Linked DNA regions of Caenorhabditis elegans. The protein of the gene in region 1 purifies or fractionates together with the protein of each later gene. This does not show direct contact. Each region holds a gene or a part of one and is shown on either strand. Other genes may lie near its edges. The genes, in order: fkb-1 and F53B2.8.

Region 1 (7,664 bases):
TATTTTTCAGTTCCAAATTCGGTTTTTTCTCCAATAAAATGTAGGCGATATCATTGAATGATTTATCGATGGCCAGATGAAGTGGTGTCCGTTTTTCCTGAACTTTTTTATTTATTTTATCAATGCTTAAATTCTAAATCCTACAGAGTCTTGACAATTGATATCAGCAAATTTGTCGAGAATCATTCTAACAATTGCCGCATTTCCACTTCGAACTGCTGACGTAAGAATCCAGTTTCCAAATCTGCAAATTTCATTTATGTTGAAGTCAAAAACTAATTAGAAAAATACCTATCACACTGATTCACAAAAGCACCCGAATTAATAAGAGATTCACATATATCAGCATATCCATCACGAGCTGCCATTCCGAGAGCTGTCAAACCATTTTGATCAGCTACATTAACATTTGGTTCTCGTGTCAGAAGAAGCTCAACTACTTGAATAAAGTTTCCACGTGTTGCCAACATTAAAGCTGTGGATGAGTACTGTAATTGAAATTAGTTTCAGGATTCAAAATAACTAAAAAAATTACCATTCCAACTGCATCCACCTCAGCTCCAGAATTTAAAAGTAGTTGTACAACAGGAAGATGTCCTTTTCGAGCTGCCCAAATTAATGCAGTACTTCCGAATTTGTCACAGGCATTTACCTAAAAATATAAATAAAAATAAATTGGAATTATATTGAAAATTTGATACAAAAATTTTTGGAATAAATTCTTATAGCAAAAACATTGAAAACGAGAAGCTCTGACTATTTAGAAATTTTTTTATACGAATACTTCCTTTTTTCAAATAAAATCCAACCTGACAATCTGAATCAATTAATCGCTCTACAATTTGTGAAAATCCACGTCCAGAAGCTACAATTAACGGTGTGAGTCCGTCTTCTTCGTCAATAAGATTTACATGAGCCGGTAACAAAAATCGTTGTTTTTCTAATTAAATATATATATAACTTACTTTTGCGTTAACAAGTAGATCAACCACATCTAAATGATTTTTATAAACTGCCCACATAAGAGGACTCCATCCCATTAAATCAGGTTGATCAACAGATGCTCCATTATCAATTAATAATCGAACAATGTCAACATGACCACAGTGAGCTGCATTCAGAAGAGCACTCCAACCTTCCTGAAATAATTTTCAGTTGAAAAAAGAATTCAGCTTTTGAATAAGGATTTTTTTTAAACTCAACTCGAAAAAAAATCAAATGGCTCATTAATTTTTTGGAGTATTCAAATATTTTATTTCAGAAATCTTACATTGTCAGTTTCATCAATTGCGTCTGGATCCAATTGTGCTAATTGTTTGGCAACTGCTGTGTTTCCTGATCGAACGGCAACTGTGAGAAGTGATTCTCCATTCTGAAATTTGTTTTTGAAATAATTTATTCGATTTCGAGCACTTACAGCGTTTCTGAGAGCTGATATTTCTGCGGTGAGTGCACATCTGAGTTCTGTGGTGCCATGCTCAACCTGGAATCATTTCAAAGTTAAAAAAAAATGAATAAAATTTATGTTTTCAGTGTTTTTCTTTGAACAAAGATCTTCAAAGGATATTTTCTTTGTTTTATTTCTAGGAAGATGTGATTACTTTTCTTTATTCTTAAATTTCGAAATAAAACAGCATTCTGTCAATTTTGGTTTTTGAAAATTGATTTTTTTGACGATTAAAGTATTTCTAATCGTATTAAATTCAGATTAGCATATTGAGATTCAAAATGTTTCCTTAAAATTTATTAATAATTATAAAATATAACCTGTTCGAAGAGCTCAGCAATTTGTGTACTATTCATAGTCACCGGAAGAGCACTGGCGACGGCAAAAGCACTGCTTGCCGCTTCTTGCCACGGTCTTCTCAGTGTTTGAACCATGGCTCCTCGCTGCTTCTTCTCGTCTTCTTTCCCCTAACGTCCTGGGTCTCCACAACGCGTCACAATATTTCTTGGATTTCTCTATTTTCTCTTGCTTTCAGTGGTCCTTCGTCATATACAAACTTTCCAGACGCTTGTTTAGTATAAATACTAATTTCGATCAGCAGTTTTTCTTCGCAAATCGATGAAGAATTGTTGTGTTTTTCTTTTTATTTGTTTGAAAGCTGAAAAATATTACTGTATGGGGTTGAAAACGAATAATAGACAGCATGTATTGAAAAACCGACGAATTTCTGTAGATAATGGTAAAATTTGATACAAAATTATTGGGAATTACTCTATTTAAGAGCAAAAACTGATTAAAATACATTAAAATTCTACAATAAACAGTTTCAAAGCATTCGTAGAAAAATCGAAAAGAGAAAACAAAAAGTCCCTACAGTAACTTTAAAGGCGCATCTAGAATACTTTGTAATGGTCTCGACGCGACTTTCATTGTTGTATTTGCAAATCTGAAAAAAGAAAATAATATTATTTAATTGGCAGCGCCTTTAATCTGCGGTATTTCTTTGGAAACTTTAATTTTTTACAAATTAAAAAGAAAAATTCCGACAAATATTTGAGAAACTTCGTTTTATGAGTGGTTTTTATTATATAGCTTCGGTAATTATTTTTGCTTGTTTCAAACCGATTTCCGAAAATGGTCGCAATTGCAGTTACCAATAATTTAATATTTTATGATTTATTCTTAATCCTCAAAAATCGAATAGAAATCAATATTCGGAAAACAGAAAAAAAAATGCAGAAAATGACACATCTGTCAGTGGTGGTCGCAGTAGCAGACACCGAAAAATGATGGGATGGGAGCCTGTCAATAGAAACACAAAAAAAACGAAAAGCGTAGGCAAACAGAAAAAGCGTTAGATTATCATAGATCTCAAAAAAATAGAGAATTCAAAAAACCAAGTTCAAAATTCTAGAGAAAATATCGAGTCCTATCAAATTTCCATCACGCTCCGTTGGTTTCAAGAAGACGGATTATGCAAATATTACTCCCGAAACCACGTTGAATTTTCAGTGCGAAATGTCAGTTTTATTATTCATACTTTTATACATCAAAACTGAAGAAGAAAGCAGTGAGAGAAAGGAAATACAAGGCTCACAAATACTCTCACAGGAGGCTCTCAAGGAATACTCAATTTACTCGTGTGTTGAGAGAAGACAACGAAGAGCAAGAATCGACCTCAATTTATAACTATTGTTAGGATGGAGCATGAACAAAAAAAAAGAGAAAAGAAGCATTCGGATCGTTGGTGCAATAATTCATGGATGCCAGTTTTAATTGGGTTTCTACTAATAGAATTCCAATTTTTTGTTTATTGTTCGACATTTTCAAAAATGCATTTCCTTTTTCGATTCGTGCTTTTTATTTACAGAGGAACCACATACTTGAATTCTAATATTTACGAAACTGTTGATTCCAGATTTTCAGATTAAAATAATCATTCTTAAAAACTAAGAAAGCAAGGCATTACTAGGTAAGAAGAGAAAAAGGTGTATGGAAATTGATAAATGTCTCGCACACCCTATCATTTTCGCTGACAGAGTGCAATACAAGGTGATAAAGAGAAGCGAGACGCGGTTGTGATCAATGGCCGCAGACGGTCCAAATATATAGAATGGGCATGTTTATAAAGACAAAAAAAAAAACTGCAAAAAAAAATTATACTCTGAGAACATGAATAAGTTACAAAAGGCACGTTTTCTAAATATCCGTAGTTCGTTTACAATTCTTCTCCGTCTCTGTCAATCTTCATGAGCTCAACGTCGAACTTGAGGACAGAGTTGCCTGGAATCTTTGGTGGGGCTCCACGTTCTCCGTATCCAAGGTGTGGTGGAATTGTGAGAATACGACGCTCTCCGACGCACATGTTAAGAAGTCCTTGATCCCATCCCTTGATCACCTATAATTTCAATTTTAATTATTGATATTGGTTTTTTCTTTAAAAACTAACATTTCCTTGTCCAAGAGTGAAAGTGAATTCTTCATTGCGAGTGCGGCTGGAATCAAATTCAGTTCCATCGAGAAGGGTTCCGGTGTAGTGCATGTGCAATTGATCACCCTTTCTGTAAATTTAACATTTTTATTTTAATTAAAAAGAGTAAGCTTACCTGGATTTCTGAACGCAGTTCTCGGCACGCTTCTTGACTCCAATTTGCAATTTATCGATTTTCTGCTCATCGGCAGCATATGCGATCGCCAATAGGCACAAAAGTCCAACGATAACAGCGGTTTTCATGATCCTACAACAATACAATTGATTTTTAGAAGCACAATACAACGAAAAATTATTGAAAAAATACGTTATGAATAGAAAAATGGACAGAGAAATCAGTGCAAAAGAGCAATCGAAGGTGTGCAAACAAAAGTCAAGCAAACGTGGCGTTGTGACGCAGAGAAAACGAGTAATGGGTCAGCAAAAGTTGTTGGCGCAACTTTTGTCGGATTTTTAACTCATAGTTCATAGTTTTTGAGTTTTCCCGAGTTTTAAACAGATTTTTACCGTTTTCTTTACAAATTTTACAAAATAATTCAGTTTTTCTATTATAAATAATTAATTTCAGACAAAATGAGTGCCAAATCTCTCGCAAAGGCTGCCTCAAAGCCTCGGCATCAATCCACTCCGTTCCCAAAAACGGAACAGATTGGTTTTCAACTGAAACATTCAAAAATCCAGTAAAAACGAGGAAATTTAGTGCACATGGGATAGATGTGATCATCGCGGGTTCTATACGATTTTAGTTTCTTCTGTGAATCTCCTCTCTACCTAATGAGTCCTGACAGAATACCGGCAGTATTCTGGGGTCTCATTAGGTTTTAGTTTCTTCTGTGAATCTCCACTCTAACTAATGAGTCCTGACAGAATACCGGCAGTATTCTGGGGTCTCAGTAGGTTTTAGTTTCTTCTGTGAATCTCCTCTCTACCTAATGAGTCCTGACAGAATACCGGCAGTATTCTGGGGTCTCATTAGGTTTTAGTTTCTTCTGTGAATCTCCACTCTACCTAATGAGTCCTGACAGAATACCGGCAGTATTCTGGGGTCTCATTAGGTTTTAGTTTCATTTCCAACTCTCCACTAAACCTAATGAGTCCTGACAGAATACCGGCAGTATTCTGGGGTCTCAGTAGGTTTTAGTTTCTTCTGCGAATCTCCTCTCTACCTAATGAGTCCTGACAGAATACCGGCAGTATTCTGGGGTCTCATTAGGTTTTAGTTTCTTCTGTGAGTCTCATCTCTACCTAATGAGTCCTGACAGAATACCGGCAGTATTCTGGGGTCTCATTAGGTTTTAGTTTCATCTGTGAATCTCCACTCTAACTAATGAGTCCTGACAGAATACCGGCAGTATTCTGGGGTCTCATTAGGTTTTAGTTTCTTCTGTGAATCTCCTCTCTACCTAATGAGTCCTGACAGAATACCGGCAGTATTCTGGGGTCTCATTAGGTTTTAGTTTCTTCTGTGAGTCTCCTCTCTACCTAATGAGTCCTGGCAGAATACCGGCAGTATTCTGGGGTCTCATTAGGTTTTAGTTTCTTCTGTGAGTCTCCTCTTTACCTAATGAGTCCTGACAGAATACCGGCAGTATTCTGGGGTCTCATTAGGTTTTAGTTTCTTCTGTGAATCTCCTCTCTACCTAATGAGTCCTGACAGAATACCGGCAGTATTCTGGGGTCTCATTAGGTTTTAGTTTCTTCTGTGAATCTCCACTCTAACTAATGAGTCCTGACAGAATACCGGCAGTATTCTGGGGTCTCAGTAGGTTTTAGTTTCTTCTGTGAATCTCCTCTCTACCTAATGAGTCCTGACAGAATACCGGCAGTATTCTGGGGTCTCATTAGGTTTTAGTTTCATTTCCAACTCTCCACTCTACCTAATGAGTCCTGACAGAATACCGGCAGTATTCTGGGGTCTCAGTAGGTTTTAGTTTCTTCTGTGAATCTCCTCTCTACCTGATGAGTCCTGACAGAATATCGGCAGTATTCTGGGGTCTCATTAGGTTTTAGTTTCTTCTGTGAGTCTCCTCTCTACCTAATGAGTCCTGACAGAATACCGGCAGTATTCTGGGGTCTCATTAGGTTTTAGTTTCTTCTGTGAATCTCCACTCTACCTAATGAGTCCTGACAGAATACCGGCAGTATTCTGGGGTCTCATTAGGTTTTAGTTTCATTTCCAACTCTCCACTAAACCTAATGAGTCCTGACAGAATACCGGCAGTATTCTGGGGTCTCAGTAGGTTTTAGTTTCTTCTGTGAATCTCCTCTCTACCTAATGAGTCCTGACAGAATACCGGCAGTATTCTGGGGTCTCATTAGGTTTTAGTTTCATTTCCAACTCTCCACTCTACCTAATGAGTCCTGACAGAATACCGACAGTATTCTGGGGTCTCATTAGGTTTTAGTTTCTTCTGTGAGTCTCATCTCTACCTAATGAGTCCTGACAGAATATCGGCAGTATTCTGGGGTCTCAGTAGGTTTTAGTTTCTTCTGTGAATCTCCACTCTAACTAATGAGTCCTGACAGAATATCGGCAGTATTCTGGGGTCTCAGTAGGTTTTAGTTTCTTCTGTGAATCTCCTCTCTACCTAATGAGTCCTGACAGAATACCGGCAGTATTCTGGGGTCTCATTAGGTTTTAGTTTCATTTCCAACTCTCCACTCTACCTAATGAGTCCTGACAGAATACCGGCAGTATTCTGGGGTCTCAGTAGGTTTTAGTTTCTTCTGTGAATCTCCTCTCTACCTGATGAGTCCTGACAGAATATCGGCAGTATTCTGGGGTCTCATTAGGTTTTAGTTTCTTCTGTGAGTCTCCTCTCTACCTAATGAGTCCTGACAGAATACCGGCAGTATTCTGGGGTCTCAGTAGGTTTTAGTTTCTTCTGTGAATCTCCTCTCTACCTAATGAGTCCTGACAGAATACCGGCAGTATTCTGGGGTCTCATTAGGTTTTAGTTTCTTCTGTGAATCTCCTCTCTACCTAATGAGTCCTGACAGAATACCGGCAGTATTCTGGGGTCTCATTAGGTTTTAGTTTCTTCTGTGAGTCTCCTCTCTACCTAATGAGTCCTGACAGAATACCGGCAGTATTCTGGGGTCTCAGTAGGTTTTAGTTTCTTCTGTGAATCTCCTCTCTACCTAATGAGTCCTGACAGAATACCGGCAGTATTCTGGGGTCTCATTAGGTTTTAGTTTCTTCTGTGAATCTCCACTCTAACTAACGAGTCCTGACAGATTAGCATTTATAGTACACAACAGAAATCAGTCAAAAACAATTACAAAAATGTACTTCATTAATAATACCCATAATTATTTCACACGAAATGTAAAACTAAATCAACATTCTAAAACTTCCAAGTTGATGGATCATCTGGCTCCTCTGGGTGAATAATTGACTTCGTCAGCAGCTTTCCATAATATCTGGCGATAAATGCGTTTTGCCATGTCCATTTAAGCATAACAAGAAACCATGTGGCAGTCGACCACCAATTTAAACCATGTTGATCTGGAAATTCAAATGTTTTTTATTTGGAATTTATAGTATTTGTGACCTTTATTTGATACTCCTTGATGTTTAGTAGCAGCCAGCACAATTGCAGTTATCATTCCTCCAATTGATAAAAAACCAACAATCAAATCTGGAATTTTTAGAATATTATTATATTCATAAAGTTTTGCCTACGCTTAAAAGTTACAGTACATGCACAATGTTTCAGATTTTAA
Region 2 (8,269 bases), 1.5 Mb from region 1:
TTGAAACGTCTAAAATATGTCATAAATGAGCAAGAAAAATATTAATTTGAGGAAATAGATAAAACGCAAAATTGACCAAATCCTAATTGATATGCTCATGAGTGCAGTTAAACTTAAAAAGCGCACGTTTTTCTAGACATTTCCGTTTCCAAAATAACCCAAATTATCTTGATTTGAATAATAAATTTTGCGAGGGTTAAAGACTGGAAATGTTTCATTTTGGTGATTAGATTAGGGTAAAAAAGGTGAGAAGAGAGTGCATATTTTTTGACTAAATCTGCTAAAAATAAATGTAGGTTAGAAGTTAAAATTATGCTCCTCTACATCTTTACATTAGAGCATTATTTTGTTGCCAAAAAGCTTATCTTTCCTCAAAACCTTGTTTTTTTTGCTAGAATTTTTCATTGAAAAATGTCAGGGAAAGATTACTAGACACGCAATTATGAAAACCTGGCAACACACAGTGATTCAAAACTTAGAGTAATTATGAGTAGTGCTCCTCACAAGACATATGTACAAAAGATGATGCATTTTATGAAAAAGTGTTTTAATGGTTGCAGAAAACAGAAAATGTAGAAAAACAAGGACTTTCCCGGTGGGAAATTTTGAATTGGCAAATACTGGGAATTATAAATGGTAAACAGCTCATAAAAAGGGTAATGGTTTTTGCAATATCAAATATTGGTTCCGCATAAAAAAATAGGTGAAAATATAATTATCTAACAATTGGAAAATCGGAAATCATTTTACGGAAAGCTAAGGTTGATGTTTTTTTTAAAATAACCACAATAATCTTCTCAAATTTAAAATTAAATTTTGTAAAAGTTGGAAATTCCGTTATTTGCATTCATTCATGCGTCATGAAAAGTTTTTAAAAATTAGGAAAATGTTTTTGTAAGAAATACTCAAGGTTTAAGATGTGAGTTTCCAAAAAAAATTGAAAAACTTGAAACCGTTTGAAAATCTGCTCTCAAAAACTGATTCAGATTTATGGTAACAGCATCAAGTGTGCGAAACAGCAAAACTACACGTTTTTGCTATAATTTGTTATGAAATAAAATTCAGACACACTTTGCTAGACATGACGAGCAATTGAGAAAATGTGGCATCACATGAGGTATAATTCAGGGATTCGAAGTTGGGCGTAATTATGAGTTGAGATCACCGCACGACACATGTGCTGAAAAATGTACTCGATTTTTCGAAGTTTAAGGTTTTTGTGATTACAGTCAAATATCAATACCGACGCATCAGGAAGAACAAGTAGTTTTTACTTTTTTTAGCCATATACTTTGGCTCATCATCAGACTTGGTCAGCAACCACAAAATTCTGTTCAATTGGAATATATGGTGACATAATTTAAATCTCTCAACAAGTTTCACTCAATTTTAATCTTAAATCGGATGTTTTCATTTTGAAAACAAATCTAAATTTCCAAATCTAAGGCTTATAAATTTAAAAGTTTCACATCTACTCAGGACCCATTTCTTGCCTAGGATCCTACCACGAAACCTCTTGGCCACTGTATCAAAATTATTAAAATATTGTTTTTAAATTATTTTTTTCTGTCTTTTTATTCGTCCCATGATTATACATAATATGAAAACCGAAGTTCGAAAAGTATTTTTTTCTTTACAATTGCTTCCTTTTCTATAATTCTTCTAACTCTTGGCTGTCTAGACATACATTGCAAAATTAAAGAATATTATGTATTACTGAAAAATGTTGATTTTGTTGTAGTTTTATTGAAATTCAAAAAAGACTGAACTACAGTAACTAATGGGGAAGGATAAGAAAACGGCAGAAAAAGAATGACAATAAAAATTACAACGGTGTTCCAGGATCTTCCAGCTCGTCCTCCACAAACTCTGTAATCGAGTCAGGGTTGTGCTTCAGTGCGTCCCTGTATGTCCTTTTGAAGTGAAAGATGATCTGCTCGGCCTGCATAATCTGGAAGTCCACCTTGACTTGCGCGTCTTCAAAGTTCGGATTGAAGTGCATGCCGAGACGTTGGATTGCGATTTTCAGATCCGCAAGCAGCAAGTAGGCATCTCGTGCCAGATTCTTCCGGTACTCCACGAAGCTGTCAAGGTTCCATGCCGATTCGCGGAAGAAGTGCTCGTACACTCGTCCCATTTCGTCGACGGTCAAGCGGCAGTTCTAAATATAATTAAATTTTTCATGTAAAATAGAGGTTAAGGAATTTGATCATATTGATACATTCCCGGGATCTGGCTCTAGCTTCTTGTCCAAGTTTGACCCAAAAAATATTAACTTGGATTAGAAGTTGGCTAAACTTGGGCAATAGTTGGGCATGACTTTGGCGCGCCAGAATGAATGATTTTGACAGTTACGCAACCCGTCTGATTTCCCTTAATCCCTTCCGAAATACCACTCACCATAACCTTATCAGCCAGTGGATCATCTTTTGTGTAGGCCTGGAAAATGTCTTCAAGGCCTTTGTCAAGCTCTTGAGAAGTCTCCAAAATCTTGTTGAGCGTCGCCTCATAACGATCCGCATAGATCTGAACATCCAGTTGCATTGCACGCCTTCCGGCTGGACACTGAAATTATTGAAGGTTTTTTTCAAAATTAAATTGTGAAAGATCTCACCTCAACGAGCTCACAACGAGCATCATAGAGTCGCTGAAACTCTTTCTTATCCAAATCCTCAGTCATCAACCGCGGTGCCTGTGGGAGTAGATAATAGTCGACTTGGGATCGTGCAGCCCGACGTTCGTATCTTCCTGGGGAATACCGGATAAATGCATCATGACACTGCGACTCCGGCTGAGGAATATTCGGAAACTCCTGTGACGCCATGATTCGGCGATGAACGGCAAGGCATTGTCCCATGATGGTGGGGAGGAAGTAAGAATGAATGGGGGAAATTGTCGAGATGGTCTGGGGCTGCTAATTGTTTTTTGTCTTTTTATATTTTTTGACCAATTTTTCTCAGAATTCATACATATTTTCGATAACAAGGAATACTGTAAATTAGGAAAAGGGGAAGCAATAAAAATTCGTAAAATTATAACAAAAGTGGAGTGAGACACAGAAATTTGGAAAGGGAAGTGGATTTAAATTGCTGTGGGAACAGTCTGAATTCTCCTTAAAATTTAATTTACCGGATTATGAAGAAATTTCCCAAATTCCAGTAGGCAAGCACGTTTCCTCCTACTGTATTCTTGCCTGCCTACAAGCTTGCCTACTGCCTAGGCATCTGAATTTTTGCAAACAATTAAAGGATCGGAAATAATTTTGCAAGTCTATAGGCACGTTTTGTAGGCAGGAATCAGGTGTAGGTCTCCTTACAAGGCAGATGTGAATTTTTACGAAGCAGATCGGGTCTCACTACAAAACGTGTCGGTTACTGTAGCTAGCAAGTTTTCTGAATCTTAAATTTGATCTGATAGTGAGCAGATAAAAAACGTTAGTGGGAAATGTGGTCTCACTTTGAAGATCAAGTTTCAAATTGAAATTTCGAATAAGATTGAAAAAATCTACCATAACCATTAGTTTTCATGGCGAGACCTCTCATGAATCATGATTACATTTCGAAGATTTTGGTATGCTGATTTGAAATTTGTAAATTTTGAATCAAACATTTTTTATTAACAAATAAAAACTTCAAAGTGAAAAATTCAAAACGTCCACAAATTAAATTTGACATCCAGATTCATATTCTTCTTATTAATTTTCCACTTAACAATTTTTTTTTCTTCCAAATGATCCAAAGCCCACACTAACGGCGTGAAGCAGCAGCTCTCATATCACGCAATGCTTTCGGAGCCTTATGAAGATTGGCGACTAGAGCCAAATATGGAAGACGGGGTGGTCTTGGGGCTGGTACCCGGATCTTTCTGGCTCTGGGGACTTTTGGCCCTTGTGCTTCAGAGCCTTGATGTGGTTTTTCCTTGATGCTTCTCAAAGCTTCCAACTTTTTTTGAATCTTCAGTGCTTTTCTCTCCAGTTTCTTATCTTTTTTGGCTCGTTTCTGCTCCTCTCGACTTCGTTTTAAGGTCAGTTGAAGTTCGAGTTTCTCCAATTTTTCCAGCTTTCTTTCCGGAGTGTTTTCCTTGGAGCGTACCCTTTTCTGGTGTTTCCCAACATTTCCCAGCTTGGATCTCAGTCGTTTCTTTCCACCCATGTTATTCTTCGGGGCTCTTTTCTTCCCAACTTTCACGTCATCTTTTTCTGAAATTTGCGAATCTCATTCGAGTATGTAATATAATCTGCCAAACGTAAACTAGACTTATCACATAGATTTATTACGATAATTTGCTCGTCAAATCTGTTGTTTATAAAGTTTTCGCGTCAAATTTGCGTATTTGCTATACCGTTCAGTGAACTAAAATTTTCCGAACACTACAATCGACGCTCAACACTAAAAGTCAAATGTAATTCCTTACTAACCTTGCGTACTCATAGCATCTCCCAAATCCTCCTCCGGCTCCACCTGTGGCTCCTCCACCTTATTTCTCTTAAGCTTTCCCACTGTAAATTTGAGCATTTTCAAATTTTTCTCGACTTTAAAAACTTACACAACTTCTTGCCCATTGGCATTTTCAGTTCAAAGCAATTGATTTTAGCAGTACAAGTAACCACTGAAATTGCAGGCACTGAGGAGGGTTTTTGTATCAATTTCTTATCAAAGAGTTTTTATCATCAATAATGTTTATAAGTGTGGAATTCTGAAATAGTGATGTTGACTATGAGTAAGGTAGTATTAAAATTGAAAATGTCATGTGAAATGGGAATGTTGACAGGAAAGATTATTGGAAAGTATGGGGAAATCGTGAGACCCAGAGGGAAAAGATGGGTGACGGGATTGCGAAATCAAAGTGTTGAAATTTTTAACTACAAAATTCACTAGAAATATGCTTAACAAATATTACACCCAAAGCATTTCAGCATTTCGAAAATTTTAACTTAGGCAATGTTTTAAATTTTTTAATATTCGAAATTTTCATTAACATTTGATTTTTTCAGACTACTGCCAGGTACAGCAACCCTCGGTTTTTACTGTGTGACCAATTTTTATCGATGACATAAAGTTATGGTATATTTATATTCAAATTTAAGTTTTTAAGTTTTCTGATTTTTAATCTTATGAATTACTATACAATTCAAGATTTAAAACATCTAACAGCTCATCGTCGTCGTTCAACATCTCCCCAACTCAAATTCAAATCTAGAAAAAGTGCTTTTGTTCCTTACAAAAACCGCCAAAAGGAATGAGTAACAGATTGTCATATCACTATCCCATCACATTGCCGCCGGAAATTGGCAAATAGAAAAGGACGACGGGTATTTGAATTCAAACTGGAAAACATTTTTGTAGTTGGAAGAGTCGAATAGTTTTGGCAAAGTTAATGCAAATCTACCTAAAAACCTAAAAGAGATGTTATAATAATTGTGTATTTGTAAAAATCATGGAAGCCGACACTTTACTGATCATATTTAACTTTAAAAAAATCCTTTTTCTCACATTTTGTTGCCTGAAAACTTGAAATATTTTAGGAGTGAAGAAATTTGGAAAAAATCAATTACCGGTAATTACCCCCTATGTTCCAAAAACATTTAAAATCCTCTTTCCCCCATTCCTAATCCATCTATTCATCATCATCTCATCAATTGTTTATGCACCTGTTCAGGAAGTGCACATAACATCTAATTGTCCAAAAAGAGTACACAAACCGGTAGAAAAATCGCAGTTGAAGAGCCAGTAATCTGTCAGTAATCTGATTGGAATTCGAGTGAACAAATAAAAACAGGTGTATTGGAAATGTTCAAGTAATTTTAAATATCACAGAAACGTAATTAGACAACATTTTCTGCTGATTGATGGGTTGATATTTTAAACCTACACAATCAAAATTCGTATTTTTATTTTCAAACGAGTAAATTCAAATGCTCATGCTGTGAAAGTCGTCTGAGAGCTTGCTGTAGCAAATCACAGAACATCCTTTGGCAATATCTTCATCTTTCCGTTCAGGTGGCGCCAAGTCATTCATCAAAGATTTCAGTTCGGCTTTTTGAATCGAAAACTGAAACACACGGATTGTTAAGTCTAAGGATATTCAACTAACGTTTGCTCCAGCTCTCTCAATACATCCCAAAATATCCAAACGTTGGAACAATGTGTACTGCCATGGATGCTCACGGAGCAGTTCAGTTGCAGTTGTCGCCGCCTTTTCATTCAAACGAACATCATCAAAATCGAGAAGAGCTGGAAAATGCTGTACTATTCCTAAGGAGACGAGAAGATACGTTTGATGCTCATCTGCAGTTGCCAATAGATTTCCAATAATCCACAGACATTCCTGAAATAACCATAGATAATTTCTAAGCTCGAAAATAAATTTTGTTTCAAAAGATGTGTTCAAAGCTAACTACAGTATTGTCTCTATTGTACTTGCACCCTCATTAATTCACTTTGACGGCTCATATCTTGACTGTCTCAAGTGTTATCAAACAATTTCACTATCAAAACGTAGAAAAACATTTTGCACGTATTTCTTCAGTTGACAATTTTTTGATAAAACGGAAGTGAATCGAGATATATGCCCTGTCAATGTAAAACAATGGTGGTGCATGTCTAATAAATAAAATACTGTTCATATAATTTTATATCAGCTTACCTTTCTCAAGCGTTTGTCTCCAGTATGAATCCCAGCCATCACCCATTCATAGAAAGCATCTGGATCATCCATTACTGAAAACATAGATCCTATTCAGTAATCAAATAAATATAAAACTAACTGTAATCCACGTGTCTTGGAGCACCGGCAACAACGTTTGATATGATCCATGCGGCTTCACTGTGATGCTCCGGAGATGACATTGCAATATTCTGAAAAAATATTTTTAATTTTCAATTTTGATGTCAAAAACGTACCATAACAACTCTAAACTTGGGATTATCAACCAACAGATCAGTCTGAACATCATTCCCGACTGCAATATTTCCAATAAGGCGGAGGCATGAAACATTGCATGACTTGTCCGTTTGATCAATAAATTTTTCGAGAATATGCTCAACAACGTAGTTTTGGGAAAGAAGCATGTCGATCTGAAAGTTTTAGTAAAGAACTTTGATTAACAATAATCCGAAAACAAACCCGTGTGGTATCTAGTGAGTTGTCAACCAAATTGGCAAGAGTCCATAAAATCATTGAACCACATCCCATATTATCGACAGCGTCTGTGTCGAGTAAAATTGCAGACAAAGCACAAATAAGTGAACGAGCTACTGGTGATGGCATCGTTGTTCGGCCACCGGAAAAAATATTATTGACACACCAAATGAGTTGGCGTCGGTCTGCATCGTCGAGTTTATACGACGTTTGTAAGTTTCTGGCGAGTATCTGAAGTTGGAATTTATTTAGACATGGTAGACAGGCATGCTTTCAAAGGCCAGACGCTTGCCTGAAGCGCCTGCCTAAAGCGCCTAAATGCAGCCGTAACAGTTGTTTTCATTTGTGCTGTGGATGGATTCTAAAATGTCCTACAAACCCTTATAATTACCTTCAAAAGTTTAGGTGATCTACATTTCAATTTGCACGAAGAACAATCAGCTGCAATATTTGCAATTGCCCAAACAGTTTGACTTGAGAGACGAGCGTTTTGAGACCGAACGAGTTTGATCAAGATATCTAGACAATTCTGAAAAAAAAACAATTTTCCTAAAAATCAATTTTCAGACTGACCGAGTTTACAAACAAGTGAGTAACTTCCTGGCTAATACAACACATATTAGTGATAATCCAAACAGCGTTAACCTCACTGTCAATGTCTAACGTTTGATTACGAAGAGCATTGAGAACGCCATTCTTCTAAAAAAAAGAGTTTGAATTAATTGAAACAATTTCGTCGGAACTAACAATTCTTCCATAAAACTGCTCCTTCAGAGCGATGTTCGATAAATCTGACTGATTGGCAAAAGCTTTACGAAAAAAGTGTAGAGCTGTGGACAGTTGAATACGGCATGAGGATTCGAGCATTGAGATGATAAAGGAAATGTCAAATGTTGCTGATTGTTCAGGTTGGGAATTCTGTATAAAAATTGAAGTATAGATAGAAAGTTGCCGTCCGAGTGAGGCTAACAAGTCGGACGTTATGCTTTTTTTTGGCTTTCCTTTCTGCGTATCAGATTTTTTTGAATTTCATTATAGCGAGCCAACACTGTGTATTTTGAGATGGAAGTGCAATTGTGCTCCAATGTCAAATGAAAACGGTCCCATCCATAATAAGAAATCGAGATCA

The links.
Region 2: the proteins of fkb-1 (region 1) and F53B2.8 fractionate together in Caenorhabditis elegans (co-fractionation; one large-scale study listed by BioGRID). This does not show direct contact.

Annotation. Positions count from the first base shown.
Region 1 is NC_003282.8:11,033,103-11,040,766, reverse strand, and holds fkb-1 (peptidylprolyl isomerase), read right to left. Parts: upstream 4,186-7,664; 5' UTR 4,182-4,185; coding exon 4,054-4,181; intron 4,009-4,053; coding exon 3,897-4,008; intron 3,846-3,896; coding exon 3,666-3,845; 3' UTR 3,593-3,665; downstream 1-3,592. Other genes in the region: kdin-1 (KAP NTPase domain-containing protein), read right to left, coding at 1-97, 145-244, 292-488, 536-652, 810-917, 966-1,139, 1,271-1,372, 1,418-1,483 and 1 more; Heme transporter hrg-6, read right to left, coding at 7,286-7,446, 7,493-7,579.
Region 2 is NC_003282.8:12,522,653-12,530,921, forward strand, and holds F53B2.8 (Coiled-coil domain-containing protein 86), read right to left. Parts: upstream 4,745-8,269; 5' UTR 4,568-4,744; coding exon 4,546-4,567; intron 4,499-4,545; coding exon 4,418-4,498; intron 4,199-4,417; coding exon 3,747-4,198; 3' UTR 3,579-3,746; downstream 1-3,578. Other genes in the region: Protein eak-4, read right to left, coding at 1,826-2,161, 2,401-2,565, 2,615-2,857; F53B2.5 (Importin subunit alpha), read right to left, coding at 5,911-6,051, 6,094-6,327, 6,646-6,719, 6,767-6,857, 6,903-7,076, 7,126-7,371, 7,532-7,669, 7,714-7,839 and 1 more.